Linked DNA regions of Caenorhabditis elegans. The protein of the gene in region 1 purifies or fractionates together with the protein of each later gene. This does not show direct contact. Each region holds a gene or a part of one and is shown on either strand. Other genes may lie near its edges.

Region 1 (8,189 bases):
TGGAAGAGATAATTTTTCCATATTTTTCCAATAGTTTCATAGTTTTAACCATTTTGAAAATATCAAAAAAAAACTCACGAATCTGTTGAGTTGGATGAAGAGCAGTGCAGTTGACGGAACCAAGATGTCCAGGAAGTTTATAGACACATGCACGCGATTTTGCATTCCAAACATAGACGAAACGATCCGCAGAGCCGGCGGTGATGTAGTTGTCGCGTGGAGACCAGCCGCATTTCAAAAGATTCTGGAAACATAAATTTGGAAAAAATATATAGGAATTTCAAAAAATAAACCTTTTCAAAATTATGCGAAGCTCCTTGATATCTGGCAACGAGCCTCTGAGCAGGAACAAATGGTCGAATATCCCAACTCATCACTGAAAAATTTAATTAATTTTTTTTCTCAATGTTTTTTAATTTTTCAAATTTTTTCTATGAGAAAAAACATTCAAGATAATATAATTGTATTATAAAAAAGAAGAAAAATGCCAAAATTTTAACTATTTTTCAAAACTTTCAAAAAAAATTATTTTGGAAAATTTCGAAAAATAGCTCAGATTTTTGGCATTTTTCTTTTTTTTTGAAAAAATTTTTCTCTTCCATTTTCGTTTTCTCACAAACTAAATTTGAGAAAATCTTCAATTTTTGCCAGTTTTCTTAAATTTTTTTTTCAATTTTTCCAATTATCTTTTATTCCTGTAGTAATACATACAAGAACAATCCATCGAGTTGGAAAGCAAAAAGTTTCCATTATGACTGACAGAAAGAGAAGTGATCGTATCGCGGTGTCCGGAGAGCACATATCTGACGTCATTTCGGAGCATGTCCCAGACCTGAAAATTTGGAATTTTGGGAAATTTCGTACTCTGGAATGGAGAACATTAAAAACATTAAATTTTAAAAAAAACCCAGTTTTTGCGGAATTTGAACAAAAAATGCTAAAATTGTCATATTTCTGAAAATGTGTAGATTACCAAAAGTTGTGAATTTCAAAAATATTATATATTTCTAAAATTTCCAAAATTCCAAATATTTAAAAATATTTCTGATATAAAAAATTTTAAGAATTCTAAACTTTTGAATTTAAAGAAATTTCTAAAATTTCTAAATTTCCTAAAATTTCAAAAAATCTTAAAAAGTGAATTTATTACAAATTTGCAAAACCAATTCTCAATTAGTTCCAGAAACCTTCTTCTTCAAAATATTTCTTAAATAACCGGAAATTCGTCATCCATGTATTAATTGGATGAAAAAGGATTGAGCGACAGATTTTTCATTTCCTTTCCACTTTCGTTTTACTAGAATTGGTCTTGGAGGGCAAATGAATGGAAAAGAGCCAAATGGAATCTATTAGGGTTATTGTAGTAATGACTATAGTCGTAATTCTACAATAGTCTTTATGTTTGCACTTTTTCGGAACTTTCAAATGTGACGTCATTATTTCGTTAAACTCGGTCACCACAAAAATTTCAGCGGCTATTCAGTACACAGTTTTTCAAAAATCTTCCAAATTTATTTTCTACATTCAAACAACTTTTATAAATTTTTTTTAAATGAAAAAACCGCATTTTCATGGGTTCAGGGTTTGAATTTCTTGTGAAGACCCTTGTGTTAAAATTTTCAAAAAAAAAAACCTTAATCTGATTGTCAATTCCTCCACAAATAACATTATCCGCGGCATCGTTGAACGTGACAGCCGTCTGTTGGTATTTGCAGATAAACTTTTTCGCCGCTTCCTTGCTCCGCATATCGTGAACCTGAAAATATTCGTTTCAATGAAAAAAAAAACTTAAAATTTATTATGGAATTTTAAAAGTGGTATTTAAGATTTTTAATTGCACAATTATAAGAGTGTATTTCAGGATTTTCGAATAATTTAATTTGACAGTTTCATTTCACTTTTTTTATTATTAAAGCTCGATTTAAATTGCATAAAAACATTGTAAATATTTCCAATAATTATTTAGAAATATTTTATTTCTGTTAAAAAAGTGGCAATTACTTAGTTGTCGCCTATCGTAATTTTTTAAAGTCGATAAAAATTTTTTTAACGAGAACTATTTTATGTTAATATTAATTATTATTTGAAAACTGTACTTAGGGTTACAACATATTTCGCATTTTGACAATTTACCAAAACTCTTACTGAAAATTTTGAAAAATCTAAAACTTTCCAAGCACCTAATTTCTGTTATTGAATATGGCTCAAAAAATATCAACGAAATATTTTGCGAAATTTTTTTGCTCAAACGTCTTTCAAACTTCAAATTTTTCAAAAAAAGAAGTCATTTTTAAATTTCCTTTCACAATATAAATTCTAGAATCCTTCGTTTTTTTGTGGCTAAAATATATATTTTTTGTATCAAAAAAAGTTGAGAAAAATTTTAAAATTGGAAGTTTTCAATTTCTTTTAAATGTATTTTTATTTGGAAAAATCCGATTTTCGTGTCAACTAAGATCTTTATACCATGACAGTTCCATCATCCGACGCTGAGCAAATCATTTGAGGACCTCGACGATTCACATCAACCGAATTGACAATATCGGTATGAGATTTGAAGTTTCGAATACACGAACCGGTTTCCATATCCCAGACACGAACGGTTTTATCGGTTCCAGCAGATACAAGATGACTGAAATTTTGGAAAAGTTTTTTTGGGTATTTGGATGGATTTTTCAATAAAATCTATTTTAATTCCGCGTCCAAAACGCGAAAAAATCTCCAAATTTTCATGAAAATTGTACCGAAAACTGACGGAAAATAAAACCTCGGGATTTATTTTGGACGCTGAAAATCAGAAAAATAAAAATAGAAAAGAAACCTCGAATCCGCGTTGAATTTCACTTCCATAATGGCTCCTTTGTGCCCTTTGAGAACTGCAAAATTCTCACATTCGCCAAACACATTCCACAGGAAGATCTGAATGAAAAATAAGTGTAATTTCAGTGAAACGCTATTCTATTGCTACACGGAAGCGATTTTTACGTCAAAAGTACGGTACCAGGTCTCGACACGACAAGGTGTGCGCCTTTGAAGAGTACTGTAGTTTCAAACTTTTGTTGCTGCGGAATTCTCATCGAATTTTTATAATTTTTACGAAAAGAAATATATTTATTTATCAGGAAAGTCAAATATAACAATAAAAGCTCTTAGTTTAATTTTTATTTAAAAAAAACTCCACAGCAACAAAAGTTGAAAACTACAGTACTTTTTAAAGGCACACACCATTTCGCATTTTACAAAGCACCAGTCGTGTCGAGACCTGGGTACCGTATTCTTGATGTAAAAAACGTCAAATTTCAAAAAACCTGTTGATCATATCCGGCACTAGCAAGAAAACTTCCATCCGAACTGAATTGGGACGTGTAAATCTCTCCTCCGTGTCCTTGAAGAACCATTGTTGGAGCCTGAAATTTATTTTTTTGTGTCGAAAAATTGCAATTTTTTGTAATTCTAACAAGGGTGGCGGTTTTTTCGATTTTCTGAAAATATGATTTCGAAAAATTCCAAAAAAATTTTTTTAAATTTTATATTGTCTTATCGAATTTTGTCGAAATTACGAAAAATTAAAAAATCGGAAAAAAAATTTGAGTTCAAAAATTGTTACAATTTTTTTCATGTTGATGAGTACTATATTACTCTTTAAAGTACACAGTACTCTTACAGCAGTTTTACAGTACTCTTTACTGTACTCTTTAAAGGCGCGCATCTTTTCGTATAAAACAAATTTCTTCTGTAAAAAAGAAAAATAGCAAAATTTTTAGTTATTTTTCAAAAATTTCAATGTTTTCATAAATTTCTCAATTTTTGAAAAATAATTTTTCACAATTTCTCAGCGAATTTTTTCTTTGATTCACTGGAAAATCTAAAATATAATTCAAGCTATTTTTTCGAAAAAGCTAGATTTTTTTTAAAATCGAGAGAAAACGAAAAATTCCAAAATACTTTTTTTTTCAAACAAAAAAAAATCGAAAAAGCCAAATTTCTTCCCAAACAAAAAATTTCTAAAAATCAAACCATCAAGCTTGAAGTCCTTTTGGGTAACTCTAAAAATTGTGAAGCCATTTGATTGCGAGCTGGGATTACCATCGCCATTTTGCACCTGTAATGTTCGGAAAGTGGCTTCAGATTATTTGCTTTTTCCTAAATATTCCAATATCTTGAAGCATTAATAATCAGCGTTAATCAAAACAAATTAAAAAACGAGAAAAATCACAGAAAATAATTTATTTTTTGATAGGAGAACGAGATCCAGCAGGAGGAAGAGATGAGGGATAGTAGGGAGATATTCGGAGAATGCATTAAAACTTTAAAGCTAATTATACAATTTCAGATGCGACAGTGACAAGCTTCTTTCCAACAATCTTCGTCATAAACTGCTCTGGCAATGCCATTTCCGTGTACTCATCGTCTCCATCTTCCAACATCGCGGAGATGTTCATCTCACTGGATTTGGATGCAACAATTTGAGCATTCAAAGCATCACGTGACAGATAGATATGACATCCATCGGTTTTTTGAATCGAAACAGTTGGAAGTTCTCCGAGAGTTTGAATTTGAATTGATTGGCAATTGATGATTTCACATTGAGCAACAAGACCATCAAATACGACTGAAGTTTTACGGCATCCGTCCAATGTAATTGCGTTGGCCTTTCCTTTGATCTGTAATTTAATTTTTAGACTTTCTTTTTTGATAAATTTTTTTATCCATTAGAATTAAGGGTGTCAGTTTCTCAATTTTCTAATAAATCGAAAAAAAAATTCGTTTTACAGAAAATGTTCGTCATATTTTTTTGATTTTTAGTTTTTCTGATATTTCGAAAAGGGTGTCGGTTTTTTCGAATTTTTTCAAGAAAACAATTTTCAGAAAATCAAACATAAATATATATTCTAAAATTTTGTTAATGTTGATGAAAAACTAATAAGAAAACATATCAATTTTATCTAAAAAAAAAACAGAAAAATTACCAGAATTTAAAGATATTAGTTTCGAAACATTAAAAATTTCTTTGGAAATGGAAAACAGGAAATCCGTAATTGGAATTTTTGGTTTCTTTTCAATTTCTAGTTTTTCAGATATTTCGAAAAAGCTTCAATTTCTCGAAAAATATCTAAAAATTTCGGTCATTTTCTTCTTTTCAGAAAAAAATGTATATGTTTTCTTTTTATTTTTTTCCATCAACATTAACAAAATTTGATAAATTTTTCGATTTTCTGGAAAACCGAAAATTTTACGTTTTTATAGCCACAATTTGTTTAACTTAAAAATTAGTGTCAAAAATGACTTGTTTCATCTGAAAATAAAATTTATTCCACTTAAAACATCTGAGAAAAAGCATAAAAGTGGCCGAGTTTTTATTTTTTAAACTGAAATAAATTACATTTTTAAATTTAAAAAATTAAAAAGGTTTTATATATTTTGACACTGATTTTCAATATAAAAGCCTTGAAAAACCGGCCATTTTGTGTGAAATTGCGAAAAAATAATCGAATAAAAATTAACCTTGATAATAGAATCGTTACACTTGTAAATATAAATCGATTCCTTCTTATCCGTAACTTCAACGACGGCATTCTTATTACCAACTTGATGATCAACTTTCCAAATCTTTCCATCCCAGAAAATGCTCGATTCGTGAATTTTCTCCGGTTTCTTGTTCTCGCTCACCTTTCTTTCTTCAGTTTTTCGATTCATCTGTCCATTTACCTCACGAAGTACCGGATTTTTGTGAGTTTGCATTTCAGGGGTGACTTTCTTCAAACGACTAGTAGCCGATAATCCCGTATTGAGAGATTCCAGTAGAGCACCGACACCAGAAGGCTTGGAAGGCGCAATCAATGAAATTGGTGGAGGTGGTGGTGGCGGCGGCGTTGGAGCTCCTCCACTTTTCCTGTTACACATCGGAGTCGCACCGGGATCCGAATTCCAGACAAGACCAGTCGTGTGATGTTGTCGCACATATTCATGAAGACTCAGCATGAGTTCTTTGATAGATTTAGCCCATTCCGAATGGAAATCATTTTTTCCTTTGTGCTCCATAAGAATACGATTTAGGTAGAAGACTGATGTATCGATAGCATCTTTGATGAATGGAGCAGGAGTTTTTGGTTCAGCAACCCAACCGAAACCTGAAATAATTGGGAGTGTATTATTTTCAAATTTACAGATTTAGCAATGGTGTAACCGAAACATTATCGAAAAAAATCTAAGTTTAATCAAATTTTTTAAAGAAAAAAAAATATATATTAAAAGATATTTTTCGAAAAAACCGACACCCTTGAGATAAAAATTGCCTTTTTTCTCATTCAAGCTCGTCGAGTAGTGTCGATTTACGAAATTTTTTCAACAATTTTCATGCCATTTTCAGTTTTTAAACGAGTTTCCATTGTTTTTTTTCGAAAACTTTTTTTTGGGTCAATCGAACATTATCATAAAACTCGCGAAATTTCATATTTTCAACAAAAAGCAAAACCCACAAAAATTAAGGAAACTCGTTTAAACTGAAATTGAAAAAATTGGAAAATTTCGTAAATCGACACAACACGGCGCGCTCCAATGAGAATATGGCGCGTGCTTGAAAAAAGTAATGGATGAACAAGCGATTTCAAGCTGAAATATATAAAATAATGAAGAGTTTTTCACATAGATATTCGGAATCAGGGGCAAATTTTCACCTCCAACCGCAGCTTCAAGTCCGCAGATATGATTATAGAATTCGGATTTTCGATTTTTCTCCTTGAAATCGGAAAATGCAACAATTTCCTTCGACAAATCGTTCACAAGAGTCGCGAACTCGTCGTTGTCCGCCTTTTTGCGCCCACACGCAATCCACAAAAAATATCGATGCGTGAAAAATAGACTCCTAGTCTGAAACATAATTTTCGATAAAATTTGAATTAAATATTATATATTTCCTTACCATGCATCCAAGGCGATTCAAATCTCCTCCAATTTTTGCAGATAAATCATAAAACGAGACGAGATTCTCACAGATCGCATCGTCATAAAGATTAATGATTTGAGGCGTCGCGTCGACCGGAGTTTCTAAAAAGCAGTTTTTTTGGAATTTATAATTTCGAGAACAATTATTTAATTGCCTTTTTTGTTCGAGTCATATTTCAGCAATATATTCTCCGTTCGATTCGCAACATTCTCCAATCGAGACACAACAGAAGGATCCATCTGTAATGTTGTAAAAATAACTTTTAAAAATCGGAATTTTCTGCCAGAAAAAGAATGACATTTTGTTCGAAAGAAAGTAATAACATTACAAAACAGGTACAAACAGCTGAATTAGAAGAAATAAAACGTCAACTTCTCCAGTCACAGCGGCAGCTGCTAATATTTTAATTTTTAAAATCAATACCAAAACTTTTGAAAATATATCAGAATGAGATTATCAACAGGAATTGTCCAAGAAGCGATGCATTTTATTCTTAAATCATTTTATCCATTCCGACAATAATTACAAATTACAATGACCAAATGCTAAAAAATATACAATCATAGCGAAAGTATTCTGGGTTTACGGAAATAAAACATTATACAGCCAAGTAAAAGAAACGGAGGAGTACAGATAATTATGCATTGAAACGAGTGGTGAAGAGCTTCTTCTCTCCGTAGCCATATGCACTGTTGGTAGCCGCGAGATCGATTTGTCCTTCATTGTAGATTGGACTGAAAATAATAAATGAGATGTCGTATACATTTTACTGTCACTTACCCTTGATTGGCGGCAAGAACCATTGCTCCACGTTGACTGTAACGATCAGCAATGTACAGTGGGACGGGAAGTCCGACCGGATGGAAGACAATCTGATGATCGTAGCAAAGATCATTGGTCAATTGCTCGAGATGCCACAATGGCTCAGCTTGTGGGCCTGCTTTAGTGGTGAAGATGAGAGTGAACTTGGTAGCCTTTGCAGTTCCTTGGCGAGCAACAGCTGAGGCATGATACCACTCAGTGTAGACATTGCTCACAATGGTATGGTCCACGACCGTACCCGGCTCCAAATTAACAATACGTCCCTTGTCGGATTTGTACAGACGCTCGTTGTGAGCCTTTGATGAGGCGATGATGGTGATGTGTGGTCTGAATGGCGGGGTTCCCTCCTTTTGGAATGCCATGCACGCCTCCTTCACTCGGGCACTGAATTCCTCGTTGATCATTGAGAATTGACCTTCGG
Region 2 (6,789 bases), on another chromosome or scaffold:
AACCGGATGTCGTTCTGGGTCACACGCAGATATAAATGACAAATGATTCAACATGAAAATAATACGACACGGTGTAAAGTATGGAATAAGTAATGATATGAGCACTACAATTGCAATAACGGCAGCATATCCGAAAAGTCGTCGTTGTGTGAACATCTCAGAGAATGGGTTGAGTATAATAGCCAATCGATTGACTGTCATTAGCACAGAAATGCAAAGAGAATGGAAATACGAAAATGTGGCTCCAAGACTAAATTGAGCACCAAATGCTGTCAGATAGTCTAGAAACGTCAAATGTTCGAATATGTTTTCAGAACTCTCCACAGGCAACTCACTTTCATATTCTTCCTCAGTAAGGAAGGCAAAAGCAGCTACATTAACATTAAGGAAAACTGTAATTAGAATTCCGGGAATGCTCATTAAAACAATATAGGCCAGTGGGAGTGCAGCTTAAAAATTAATTGAATGTAATTGACTCCTAAAATTCAAAAACTACCGTTCCGACGATTTATTATTGTTGCTGTGAGGAGCACAATGTTGTAAAGCATGCACATTGTTTGAAGTATTATCATAAAAATTAAAAACAGTTGATACTTCGGTGTCATTTTATCGAAAATTGTTGAACGCTTCAAATTCGATTAGGAGAGAATGTAGAGTCACAACTGCTGAAAAGGGATATAGACTGAAATGCGAGAAAAACGTGACAGAAATTGAATCATGCTGAATTGCGTGACAGTGATAAAAATGTGTTCGAAACTATTGGATTCTGAGAACAATTTCTCCTATTCGCAAAAGCGCCCACTAAATAAAGGGTTTTATGAGTTAGATATAATAGTGTGATTCGCAGAAAAAAAAATGTACAGGGAAGTAGAACGGAACCTCTGAAACTGAACTTGCGCACATTCTGAAAAATTTGGGTTTAGATCAAAATCGTATATTTTCGAAATTATCCGACTGGTTGATTATCAAAATAAATAAACTTCATCATGTAATTTGTCTCCAACGAAGCGTGTAAAAATATTACACGTACCATGCTGGTCAACATGGTGCTCAATGATCGTGCTTTGATATTAAACGTGGCAAAATGTTCCGGGTTCCGGGTCACATCTTGTAAATATTTCGTTGTAAATAGTTTTAACTGCAGTCGTAGAAACTTAAGTCTTAAAGAGTTTTATTGCAAAATATTTGCAAATGTTTATGTATTTTTAATAGTTTTCAAAAGTTTAAAAAAATCAAAAGAATTTTTAATAATAATAACGATTAATTCATGGCAAGATAACGTTTCATAGCGCATGTTCACATGGAGCTCGAATTTTTTAAGTATCTTTCAACAAACTTTCAAAAAAAGTTGTTTACCTATTGAGCACACTGAACAGAACATTGTTACTTTTTTAAGTCTGCACAAAACAAGTAAATAGATCTATTTTAACTGCAGGCAAAAAATAAACAGTACACGAAAACATCTGTATTAGTTTTCAGTTGCAACTGCAGCGACGCAGGCTTCAAGACACAAAAAATTGCTCAGAAACAATGCTAATTAAGAGCGCAAGACTAATTTATGCGAGGAAACTAACTTTCGAGAGAGATTCAGGACAACCAATAAAGTCCCCCCCCCCAATCAAAAATATTAAACGAAATATTTTTCTCCACATTGCTGATTTAGAGCAATTTTCCGAGTTGTATCTTTTATCAGTTTTGACTTGGTTTTCAGAAATCTGTAAAAGATTGAATATAATTTAGTTTTTGAAAATCGATATTTTCTATAGTTTTTTATGGCTAATGTAATTGAAGTTTAGTAAGACGTTTTGATTTTCGATAACTCGATTCTACCGATTTTTCTTAATTTAAAAGTGTTCAGAATTTTAAGCACATCTTTTTGGTTTCAAATGTTCTCACAAGGATCACTAAAAATAATTTGAATATGATTACTCCATCCCCCAAGTCAATTTTCAACGAACACCAAATTCAACAAGTTCGTTCAGAAGTACACACAATTTTGCACTTTATTTCCGTTATTTCATGGTCATTAACAAAGTTATTCAGAAAGAGGAAGTAAACTTCAAATGCGTCCTCCATTATTGTAGTACGTGTTGTTCGCAATTTGGTTCACCGAATTGCGAATATCCACAATATCATTGGTGTTGGCACGTTGTTCCTTTTCAATGTCAACAAGTGTCTCTTGAATTAGGTACTTGAATACCTCCATGCCAAAGAAGTCTGCTTCTCGCTGGAAAAAATAAGGGAAGTTTATATGTATTGTCAATTCATACATCATTGGAGTTATTTTCAAATTAAAAGTTGTGATTGTTTTCAATAAATTGATTTGGTGTTTCAAGATTCATTTAATATACACACTTATGTATGCTACACATTTTTTGCATAAATCTCATAGTTTCTATTTTTTATGATTGTTGACATAGTTGACATTAGTGTTAATCTTGTATTTGTTGGTTTTTTTTCCATATTGCACTTTGAATTAATTTTTGAATGATATTTCCTGGAAAAAACAATTTTTCAAAACATATTGTTTTTCCTTAACAATATCATAAAATAGTAACTGCACATGACTAAATTGTATAACTTAATTTTCTCTACCCATGCCAATTGATTAGGTATACCAATATTCGTGACACACAATCGCCAACACATAAATACCCATAAAACACAAGGCACACCTCGGTGTACCTCTAGTAAACAAGCAACTGTGCTTATCAATGACAACGCATGGTTAAGAAGGCGATGAAATTAAACATGAAACACCTACTTTGAGCTGTGCTAACACGTCTTTATCTTTTGGCAGGACAGTGTTCTTTCCGTCTCTCATAAATTGCAGAACGAATGCAAACAGACGCCCGTCCCGGTTCACGAAGATTGCTCCTGACTCATCACGCTGAAATTTGTATTGAAATTTTTTTAGAGAGAGCTATGAGGATTAAAAGCATTCTCTTGAAATTCAGAAAAATAATTCTGAAAAAAGCACAAGTAAAAATTGTTGGAAGTTTTTTCAGTAGGATTTAGGCTTTCAGCTAGCTTCTAGATAACCTAATAGTCTCCAATTAAAAAATTCTGCATCCTCATTAGTATGTATATTTATTTCTAGATTGTCACCCACAATAGTTCTCTGTTGAAGAAGCACAATTTTTCCACTGGTGCGGTCGATGCGGATAAAGTTGAGGAAATATGACGACTTTGACTGTGCCAAAGTGTCGTAAAGTGTAGTAAATCTGAAGCCTTCGTTAAATTCTCAGATCTCATGTTCTCAATTCCCAACTAACCTTGTGCCGCCTGCGTTAATATGCACTATGTCTCGAGCATGATGAGATGTGACTTCAGCCTAAACATAGTTTTATAATACTCCAATTTTCTCATTAGCTGTACAATTTATTAGAAAATTGAATCAATTTCAAGACCCACCTTTTTATAATCAGCATACTCAGCGGTATGCATATCCACACCATTTGAATGAAGAGAAGCTCTAGCTAGCATTATTAGTCAAACCTGCGTGTCCTGTGAAAAACGCGAGCAAGTGAAAATCGAGGTAATAAAACTCAATGGTCGGTTGTGTTATCAGTGACGTTAGGAAAATTTTTGAATTCACCTTGTGTCAATAAGAAGATACCATCCCATTTTCAGATTGGCAACACGTGTGATTCAACACTTTTGAAACATATAAAGGTACCTATTTTCGAAAAAAAAATCTTATTCGTGTTTAGAAAAAGTATATTGTTATCACTCAATAATAACCATTTATAATTGATCTAAAATTTAAATGAAAAAGTGAATAATATTAAAAGCGTGGCAAAATTTGAATAGTTTTTTTTGAAGCTCGCTCTGAAAAATGCCAAAAAAAACAGGCAAAGAAATATGATCAAGAGTGCCAATTTTACGAATTTGGACAAACCGTAAATATGTCAATGTAATTTTGAAACACGTGTTATTCAGGAAACCGCCAACCAATCACCGAAGTATGTCGTCTCCTTTACGTAACGCTGATTGGTCAGTGCCGTCGCATGATTTGCGTATAATTTCAAAATTTAATTGAAGTATTCATTCACCACTTGACTACTCTCAAAATAACACAACCTTTCATTTTTTGAATAGTAATTTTTGCACTTGTATGCTTATTCTAACTGGCGCCATTCTGTTTTTAAAGTTTTGTTTTTTTCACAGTTTTTGAACAAGCGGTAGGAAAAAAATCGACAGTTGCCGGTTTTCGTGCCAACAGCTCAGTCTGCTATGTATGTTCACTGAAAAAAAATTTATCCTGCAATTTCAGAACTACGAAAGTTGTTCAGGAGTAGCTTGCAGCTCAATGACGATAACAAGATGTTCCAGATCATAAAGTCAAATGAAAGTCAATTATAATTGATATTTCACTGGCAATTATTTTGTTTTTTTTTTGTTATTTTCTTCACAATATGTGCGGCTGCAGCACTATCAAATTATGTTTTATACCGCCGTAAAACTTTTCTGGCCGAAAATCTAATCTCGAAAATAATTTTTTATTTGCAAAAATGTCACTTGTTTAATCTCGCACGAGAAGTGCGAATAACTAATTTCACGTTTTCATGAGTTATTTTCTTGATTAAAACAAGGCTGCTAAATTGAAACAACAAAAATAAAAGTTACCGTACACCAAACGAAACAATATGAGATTTTGATTGGCATTTTCATGTTTTTCAAAAATAATATTTGATTTCGAAATTATGTTTAAAGGAGGACTAACGGTTCGGACGATTTTGAACGTATAAGCCAAAAATGGGCCCAAATGAACGAATTTCGTAATGAAACTGCTCAAACAATTTTCATAAATTTTTTATGGCGGTTCAAAATTTCGAAAAAATGACGCTGATTTTAGCTAAAATCTCTAATTTTGCCCATTTTTCCGTGTCACATCTGTCCGAAATTGCTTTTTTGGAATTATCACCCTTTATTGCATATATTGGTAGTTTATCTCATTTAATTTCCTTGATTAAGGTACATTTAAAGCCGATAGCTAACCAATTTTGATGATTTTTGCAATAAAGGATGATAAAAGCAATTTCGGACAGATGTGACACGGAAAAATGGGCAAAATTCGAGATTTTGGCTAAAATCAGTGTCATTTTTTCGAAATTTTGAACCGCCATAAAACATTTTTGAAAATTTTTTGAGCAATTTCATTACAAAATTCGTTCATTTGGGCCCATTTTGGGTCGATACGTTCAAAATCGTCCGAACCGTTAGTCCTCCTTTAACTGCCTGAACAATTTGTTAAAATTTTAGAGTGACATTTATATTTAAAAAAACAGAAGAAACTATAATTTTTGTTTATTATGAAAAACACTTTTTAGGATATGAGTGCGTTTTTTTTTTCTGAAAGAAGCCATTTCAAAAACCGAAACTAAAACGATAATTAACTTACTTCAGTGTCCATTCGCCTTTTACTTTTTGTTGCTGGAGTCCATTTAAACAAAGTTTGCACTACTTTTAAAAGATATTCACTCCATAAAAATTCGAAAAAAACTTTTAAAGTGTTTTTTTAAACAGAAATTATACCACCAACAAACGGATGAACCGGGAAGTGTAAAAGTTTCAAAAAAAAAATAATGCAATTTCTATCAGTTTAGTATGCGTTTTCATGTCAATCTAGGGTTATTCAGTTATTCATAAATCAATTTTAGATAACTAGGGGACCAAAATAAATTATAAAGATGAAAGATTGGGATAACGAAAAATTGACATAATTTGAGATGTTAGCAAAATTCAACTTTCATGGTGTCGATACTAAAAATGACAACATTTCAATTCTGCATCGGTGGAAATATTTTGCAAGTAGTAACATTGTTTTTTACAAACCTGCCTTATTAATGACATTTTTATTTTTTGCAATTACCATTGAGAATTGCACAGATAATTTTTTTCACTTCTCTCTTCAAGAGCTTTGCCTACTTTTCCTATAACTGCCTGGAACCCAAGCCACCATTATGCATTATCTGGGCGTATGCTTAATGAGATTTGCTTCCTGATTCTTTCAATTCCCCTCAATTCTTGCAATATGTTCCCGCACTCTCTTCTAAGTATCTTTCCGAAGGCACTGTAAACGCGCCACACGCAATTGTTTCTTCATAGTCATTTTATTTCATTGCATTGCTTCTTTCACTGTTTGTTGATTTATTGGTGTTGGATAGAATGGAAAGGAAACATTTTCTACTGAGAAACAATTATTTCCGAAATTTCCAGCAAGAAATTCAGATTTCAATAATTCTTGTTGAGAATTGTTCCTATCAGGCATATTTAAATGGATAAAAGTCATGTCAATTTTTTGGTGGACTTTGAATCGATTATTAAATCGTTAAAATATAAATGAGATTGTGTTTTTTTTTTGTTTTTTGGAAAAACAAACCAGGGGAAACATTCATGCTAGATGCCACACGTTTTATGTCACAACAACATTTTAATTTAAGGAATCCGAAAGCATGTTGAAAAATGACAAAAAATTTAGCAGAACATTTCAAACGTTTCTGAGTTTTCTACCAATTCTACCAATTTGAATTTGTATTAAAAATTGAAACTTTATCTAAAAATTATGATCACTTTGAGTAATATAAATGTGTAAAACGTCTTGTCACATTGAAATTCATATGGACAAAAGTTAGACAAAATTTTTTTGCCAACTGGGTCATTCATTTTTCACATGCTCGTGTCAGATGACACCGGAAGTTTCATTCAAATAAATTGCTAACAATTGGCATTCTGATAACAAACGCTGCAAGTACATTTCTGCTTAATTAGCCAAGCTAGTTAATT
Region 3 (7,050 bases), 3.1 Mb from region 1:
CTTGAACTTGTCGCAGCTGACTTCCAATATTTTTTCGTACAAATTCTGCCATTTCTTCATCTGGGAATAAATGTAGGCGTTGGATGTGACGACGTCGGAGAAGATTATTTCCAAGTGACTGAAAAAAAGAATATAACCACCGCGTACTTCAGGTGTTCGAATAGTTTATATTAGTTATTGCCAAAAAATTGTTTTGTTTAATTTTCAGGTAAATTTTAAAGACATTTTTAACGTTGAATAAATCATTAGATTATTTTTTTTTCAAAAATACTTCAAAACTTAAAAAAATTGGATGACATAAATTACAAAATAAAAATACACTCACCCTATAAACCGATAAAAAAGCTATTCTGCATTGATCGTAATCGTGAATCTGCCATGCTGGAATATCAGCTTTACTTTTTGGATATTCCTGCAAAAGAATTGATAATTTCTATAAAAGCAGCAAAAATCACCATATTGAACTTATAAATTGTGTGTTTCCAGTCAAATGCATGCATTGCAATATCTTTGCAGTTTGTAACAACTACATGATCTCCACAATCAGTTTCTGGATGGAAAATTGGTTTGTGTTTCCCTGCGAGATATCGAGCAACTTTATCACCAAGAAGTTCGGCGTCCTGGAATTAAATATGAAATAAAAATAAATATATTCATGTTGTTATTATGTTTTTCTGTTATTCGAATGTACATTTTTGTTTTCTGGTAATTTTTTTTTACAAAAATGGACTTTTTCGATTTTTTTTCCAGATTGTTCAGAGGAAAAAATTGAAGAGAGAATGCGATTTTCTGTAGTTTTCAAGATTAAAAAAATTAAACTTTAAAATAATCGTGCCAAATTGGGTTTTGGCGGACTTACGACATTATAATATAAGTGGAAAAAACTGAGTAATTACTACAATTTGCGTGCTAATAAAATAAATTCAGGAATTTTTTGAAAAGCTTTACTATTGTGTTTGGTCATTGTTGAATTATTTTTTATCAGTGAGCAATAATTTGTATTATTTGAATAACTATGTGTATTAGAAAGGATTGCACTTATATTATTACTTAACACTTCCATTTGTCAACAACATGTTTTCCCATTTGATCGTCGACATGTTTACGTTCAAACATTCAAAAAAACAAAACAAGAGGCTTAAAGGTATACATACTTGTTGATTCGCATCAATCACGTGCCATTGTCTCGAAAACTGCAGCCATTGGTTAACACGGTCAAATCGAGAAACGGCACGCCGGTAGGACATCTGATTGTTTGTAAATGATTTTCAAAATGTAATTTCAACGAATAAATGATATAATAAAGATATTAGAGGAAATTTACCTCAAAAGGAAAAATCAAAAAGAAAAAGCAAACATCAAAGGATTTATACTCGAAAATGAGAAGGGACCGAACCAGAATAGTGAGAAAAAAAAGAATATTAAAGAAACAATTACAAAAAAAAAAGAAAAGTTCATAGAACAGAATTCGAAGAGAGCGGAAAGAAGGAATTTGGGGTGATATGATCACACAAAATTTACAATTTTGGACAGCATCTAATAATCTTCTAGGAGAAACGAAAGCGGTGTTGCATTGCTGCAAAATAAGAAATCTTAGATTATTTTTTTGGATGAAAGTATGAATACACGTGTGTGAGCAGTAAAAATTCGAAAATGAGCAGGTGCGATCACCAGACGATTTTGTTTTTAAACTCGGGCAGAACTGAGAACCGTTTGACACTTTCATAGGCAAGCATTACAAGACTTGAATAGAGAGCATTATTCACCATACGCGGTGCGAGACCCTGAAATATTAAAAACATATATAAATGTATTTAACTAATATTTTTCGTGAGCTCAGCATATTTTACGGATACTTATTTGAAGCAAAAAAATGGTGTAAACATGTTGATTTCTGAGCTCATTTTCTAAATTTGGTATATCTTGATTTGGCAAAACCATACCTTGGTGAATACTTGTGCTTTCTCATACTTCCATAGTCTAACAATCGTTTCCCTGTACGTTGTTCGATGAACCTGAAAATATTTTAATTTCATTGAATTAGATTACTAAAATTCTTACCTGTAACCGAATTCTCAGCATCTCCAATGGATTTGTAACCATTGCACTAGCGACTCCGCCAATAGAACCGCTCACAGCTTGGTCCAGGAACAAATTCCGATCATCAACTTCGGAAGGAGATGTTGGTTTCACTCCATATTCAAGTTCAGTGACCTGAATTAATAATTGACTTAATTCAGTTTAGCATAACTTTAACCTACTTTTTCACGAATCATTCTGAACACTGCTAATGAATTGTAATATGTAGACCAGAAAACCATTGTTGAAGGAATATACAACATGATTGCGGATAGGAATCCTCTGAAATTTTAAAATATGTCATAATTGAAACTGTAAAATATAAAAATACCTATAAAAACCGAAAATTCCATCAACTTTGTACACGGCCCTGATAACTCTCAAACCTAACGTTCTTCTGCCTTCGAGACCATCTTTTCTGATTGCATCTGCTACTGGTATATTCTTCTCTCCACCTAAATTATATTCTTCAGAGCAAACATTTCAAAAAAGCGATTTACCTCCAAATGCTTCTGGATTATTATGAACCATCATATGTTGAGCCACAATGTCAGTTGGTACAAATATTAGCTGTGCACAAGGAGAAGCGATTCCTCCGGCTAATGCAGATACCACAGAGTGATTAGTAATATGAAGATGGGTTTGAAGCAAGTCTCTGACTCTTTCATAAGCTGATGAATATAAAAATGAAGCTGACAGCTGGGGAAGTGTCATCCAGAATCCCTGAAATATTTTAAATTTCAATAAAACATCCGGTAACTAAAACTAACTTTATACAAAGCGCCGATTCCTTCTTGACGAATGATTTTAACAAATGCATCTCGCATTCCGTTATACACATTATTTTGTCTCTGTAGTTGTAGTCTGCTCTTCACAACAGACATTGGATACAGCATGCACCTGATTGTCCATGAACTGCACAGAGCCATTGGATAGAATTTGTACAAGTTGAGATGTTCCCATTGAATTACTAAAAGCTTGTCCTTCTGTATTTGACTCAGTGGAGATACTTTCGAGTTTAGCGGGGATGTTGCTATTGACCGAGCCTCAATCGCGGTGTCCATTTCAGACGAAACCATCTGTAACATCTTATGAACATTAGAACTTTTAATATCGGATAGAGCATACCTTTGCGAACCGCATGTTCTAATTTTAAAATCAAATAGTCGATCGTTTGGTCTTCAAGGCAAAAACGAGCAAAGTGTGAGAATCGGCTTAGAATTGAGCATCACCTGGAGAGTTTTTTCGAAGGAACTTCAAGCGGATATTTTGATAATCTGACTAAAACAGGAAAATACGTATTTTTTAAAATTTTATAGAAAAATAGACAGATGGAGAGAAAAACATCAACAAAGAACGAGTAGTTTAAAAATGTTCACCAACAAAAAAGAGGCACCGCATTACGGCGAGGGAGTGTGCTATTGAGAGAGACACAGCGTCGTAAGAACGGAGCATCGTAATGCGCCTTGTTTATTTTTATTCAAAGTTTAAAATTCCATTTTAATGTTTTGTTTTCCGTTTTCGGTAACGCTCTTTCAGCTTTTATGAATTTTTTCGTTTTATAGTTGGTTATTGTTCAATTGAATGTTTATAGGGTATGATGAACTATCAATATGACGTCTCTGTCATAATTCCAGCCAAAAATGTAGAAAAGTTCTTGCGGGAAACACTCAACGGTCTACTCGACCAGACAGCTTGTGAAAATTCAAAAATTGAGGTTAGAAATGCGTATGGTTTTGTTTCTTCTAATTAATAAAAATATCTCAGATTTGTTTGGCTGACGACGGGAGTGTAGATGACACTGTTAGAATTCTGGAAAATGCGCGGCTCGAGTTCGAAGAGATGGGAATGAATGTCGTTGTTACACACGTTCCTCAACCCGGTGGAGTTGGTGCCGCTAAGGATTGTGCTGTAAGATCTTCGAAAGGAAGATATCTCTGTTTCAATGATGCAGATGATGTCAGCTCTCCGAACAGAATCAAAAGCCAATTGGAGTTGGCAACGAAGTTATCGAAGTCTGGAGATGATTTAATTTTTGTAGGTGAATAAATTGAAGTTAAGTATAATACGATCCTAACTGTTTGTTAGGTGGACAGTTTCATAGACTACCAGAAGGCTCCACAACAAGATACACAAAATGGGCGAACTCGATGATCGGAGACAAAATCAGAAGTCAAGTCTACACATCTCATGGTCCCACGCTCGTTGCTCCTACTTGGTTCATTAGTAGAGCACTTTTCGATAAGGTTGGCGGTTTTCGAACAGATGTTTCGTGTGGTTTTCCTGAAGACTTAGAATTTTTCTACAAGTGCTTGGATTTCCCGGAGTGTATTTTTGATAAAGTAAGTAAATTGGCAATTTTAGCTGGAAAGTTAGCTTGAAAAAAATTCATTTCAAAATGTGTGTTATTTCAGGTCGATGATGACATTGTCATGTACCGATACCATAAAAACTGTGCATCACACAGCGTTCAAGAACAAACAATTTGGAATTTCCGTTTATCGAGATTAAAAGAGAAATACATCGCAAAATGGGACAAATTCACAATCTGGAGTGCTGGGAAGCAAGGAAAACGTCTTTTCAAGTAATGGTTTATGCTTGAAAACATTCTTTCAACATATACTACATTCTTTAGAAGTCTCACAGATGACGAGAAGATCAAAGTCAGAGAATTTTGCGATATTGATGAGTCAAAAATCGGGAGAGGTGTTCATGAAGAGTTTGATGAAGTGTCACGCAGTGTGACTCACAAAGTTCCAATTGTTAACCTTGAGTATGTCTTCACTTTCTCAGTTTCTTACTAAACGTATTATTTGTTTTAGAAATGCCAGGCCTCCGCTCGTCGTTTGTGTCAAATTGGACTTGACAAATGGTGATTTGGAGCGTATAATTGAACGAAAAGGCTGGAAAGAGCACGTCGACTTGGTTTACTTTGGTTGACAGACTGCTATCCGATACTTGATATAATAAACAATTTATCCGTTTAAATTTTGCATTTTGCGTTGTCTCATTGGTTCTCAGTGACTCCAATGTACTTTGATGTTGCAAATTTTTGTGTCTGGTCATTTTTCTCCCTCGTCGTTATCATTTTTCCTAACAGAACATGGGAAGAGATTACTAGGTGTCTCTGCGTCTCGTGTCTCCGAGTGATCTCTAATTTTCTCGCTCCGTCTGCTCGCGTCGTTGGAAAAACGACTCTGGCGCGAGTTAGTTTTCCTAATAGACGGCTTCTCCGTTTAGCTTCTTTAATTTATTTTATTGTTTTTCGGCAAAGTGGTTCCCTTCAGCTCTTTATTCATTGATTTTAAGTTTTAGATGGTGTTCCAACCAATCCACGAGGAAGAGCAAGTTTTCGTCGACTACGCCATTGAGTTGGTTAAAAAAGCTGGAACGGTGAGTTGAATTCGGATTAAAAAATCAAACTGTTTCCTAAAACAACAACGTCGTTATTATCTTTGTCTTATTTTTGTTAATTTTACAAATATGCACATTTAAATCAAATGCGTAACTCGAAAAACAACATTCTCTATTCCTCAGTTACGAAACAAATTTTATTATTTGAAAAAACATCAATATTCGAAAAAAACATTTTCAGCTCGTCCGTACCGCGTTTGACTCCCCGGAAAGCAAGGTTGACACAAAATCATCGAATACTGATTTGGTGACTGAAACTGACCAAGCTGTTGAAAAGCTTCTCATCGAAGGGCTCTCCGAGAGATTCAAAGGACATAGGTAAGAGCAAGGAATTCCCACGGTCCGCTCGATTTCACTCATTGTCTCCATGACAACCAGTTGGACTTTCTTTTTCAATCGAGTATTTACATAAATTTACTATTTTGATTCAGATTCATTGGCGAGGAATCTGTAGCCGGAGGTGCGAAAATTGAATGGACTGATGCACCAACATGGATTATTGATCCGATTGATGGAACTACTAACTTTGTTCATAGGTAAGATTTTTTTTAAATCGGACTCTTCAAATAATGGCAAATCGCGTTATTTAATTTCTAATTTGGACTCAAATTTTTCTCGAAAAACAAATTCTTATGTTATTATAGAATCCCTATGATCGCAATCTGCGTTGGACTTGCAATCAAAAAACAAATTCGTGCTGGAATCGTATACAATCCAATCACTAATGAACTTTATCTCGCTCAACTCGGAAAGGGAGCTTTCAAAAATGGATTTCCAATCCGAGCATCAAAGAATCAATGTAAGTAATTGCACTTTTCTTGTCATGCACCCTGCTTTTTGAAGTGCTTTCAAAGGGAGTTCTCTGTCAATCTCTCGGTCTGCATAATCGTGTTCAGTTCGGCGATCGCTGGCTCGACATTGCCCAGTCAAACATGCGAAATCAAGTGATGGCTGGTGTGCGAGGGTTTGTTTTAATTTTTTGGTCTAAAATTGATTACTTTTTTACAAAAAATATACCTCCACACTTCCCGCGCTGGTTTTGCACGTTTTACTTTCAATTTTATTTACATTCACATAGAAACGTTGCAAATTCCAGTCATTGCGGAAAGTGTGCTCATACTTCAACTTGGCTCAATTCGATCTCCTGTTATGCAGAAATCATTTGTTGATTCTTACAAGACTGTTATGTTCGACAAACAATGTCACGGGTACTTATAAATATTTTTTATATTCTTGTCGAAATCTAGTGACTTTCTTGAACTGTGCGTTTGCAAATTTTTTGAAAGTTTTACTAAAATTGAGAAATGGATAAGATGGAAAAGTTAGATGTTGGATGGACAAAGTTTAATATGAAAAAAATCACGAGGATGATGTGATATTATTATTTTTAATATTGTTATACATAATAAAAGTTATTTGAAAAAAATCCAAGTTTTTTTTTCAGACACCGTTCGTTTGGCTCCGCCGCGATCAACATGGTGATGGTTGCACAAGGAAGTTGCGATGGATATGTTGAATACGGGATTCACGCTTGGGATGTTGCTGCTCCTTCTATCA

Evidence for each region. Proteins that work in one complex are often made in the same cells at the same time.
Region 2: the proteins of snrp-40.2 (region 1) and F46G10.1 fractionate together in Caenorhabditis elegans (co-fractionation; one large-scale study listed by BioGRID). This does not show direct contact.
Region 3: the proteins of snrp-40.2 (region 1) and F13G3.6 fractionate together in Caenorhabditis elegans (co-fractionation; one large-scale study listed by BioGRID). This does not show direct contact.

The regions. Positions count from the first base shown.
Region 1 is NC_003279.8:4,189,154-4,197,342, reverse strand, and holds the start of snrp-40.2 (WD_REPEATS_REGION domain-containing protein), read right to left. Parts: upstream 4,103-8,189; 5' UTR 4,096-4,102; coding exon 4,018-4,095; intron 3,408-4,017; coding exon 3,309-3,407; intron 2,920-3,308; coding exon 2,822-2,919; intron 2,633-2,821; coding exon 2,467-2,632; intron 1,757-2,466; coding exon 1,634-1,756; intron 833-1,633; coding exon 712-832; intron 377-711; coding exon 294-376; intron 245-293; coding exon 79-244; intron 1-78. Other genes in the region: cas-2 (C-CAP/cofactor C-like domain-containing protein), read right to left, coding at 4,320-4,664, 5,506-6,131, 6,678-6,870, 6,923-7,047, 7,101-7,185; ppw-1 (Piwi domain-containing protein), read right to left, coding at 7,584-7,680, 7,727-8,189.
Region 2 is NC_003284.9:13,308,241-13,315,029, forward strand, and holds F46G10.1 (BTB domain-containing protein), read right to left. Parts: upstream 3,516-6,789; 5' UTR 3,487-3,515; coding exon 3,415-3,486; intron 3,335-3,414; coding exon 3,276-3,334; intron 3,232-3,275; exon of another isoform or gene 3,225-3,231; coding exon 3,113-3,224; intron 2,891-3,112; coding exon 2,765-2,890; intron 2,228-2,764; coding exon 2,060-2,227; 3' UTR 1,987-2,059; downstream 1-1,986. Other genes in the region: srxa-8 (G_PROTEIN_RECEP_F1_2 domain-containing protein), read right to left, coding at 4-281, 336-449, 497-605.
Region 3 is NC_003279.8:7,301,314-7,308,363, reverse strand, and holds F13G3.6 (Glycosyltransferase 2-like domain-containing protein), read left to right. Parts: upstream 1-3,673; 5' UTR 3,674-3,676; coding exon 3,677-3,796; intron 3,797-3,846; coding exon 3,847-4,120; intron 4,121-4,167; coding exon 4,168-4,421; intron 4,422-4,493; coding exon 4,494-4,663; intron 4,664-4,714; coding exon 4,715-4,852; intron 4,853-4,901; coding exon 4,902-5,019; 3' UTR 5,020-5,064; downstream 5,065-7,050. Other genes in the region: mrpl-13 (Ribosomal protein L13), read right to left, coding at 1-118, 326-412, 456-620, 1,155-1,247; F13G3.7 (SLC (SoLute Carrier) homolog), read right to left, coding at 1,668-1,784, 1,944-2,015, 2,062-2,214, 2,262-2,361, 2,411-2,534, 2,580-2,802, 2,850-3,167, 3,208-3,222; Inositol monophosphatase ttx-7, read left to right, coding at 5,395-5,472, 5,675-5,811, 5,925-6,029, 6,138-6,292, 6,337-6,457, 6,938-7,050.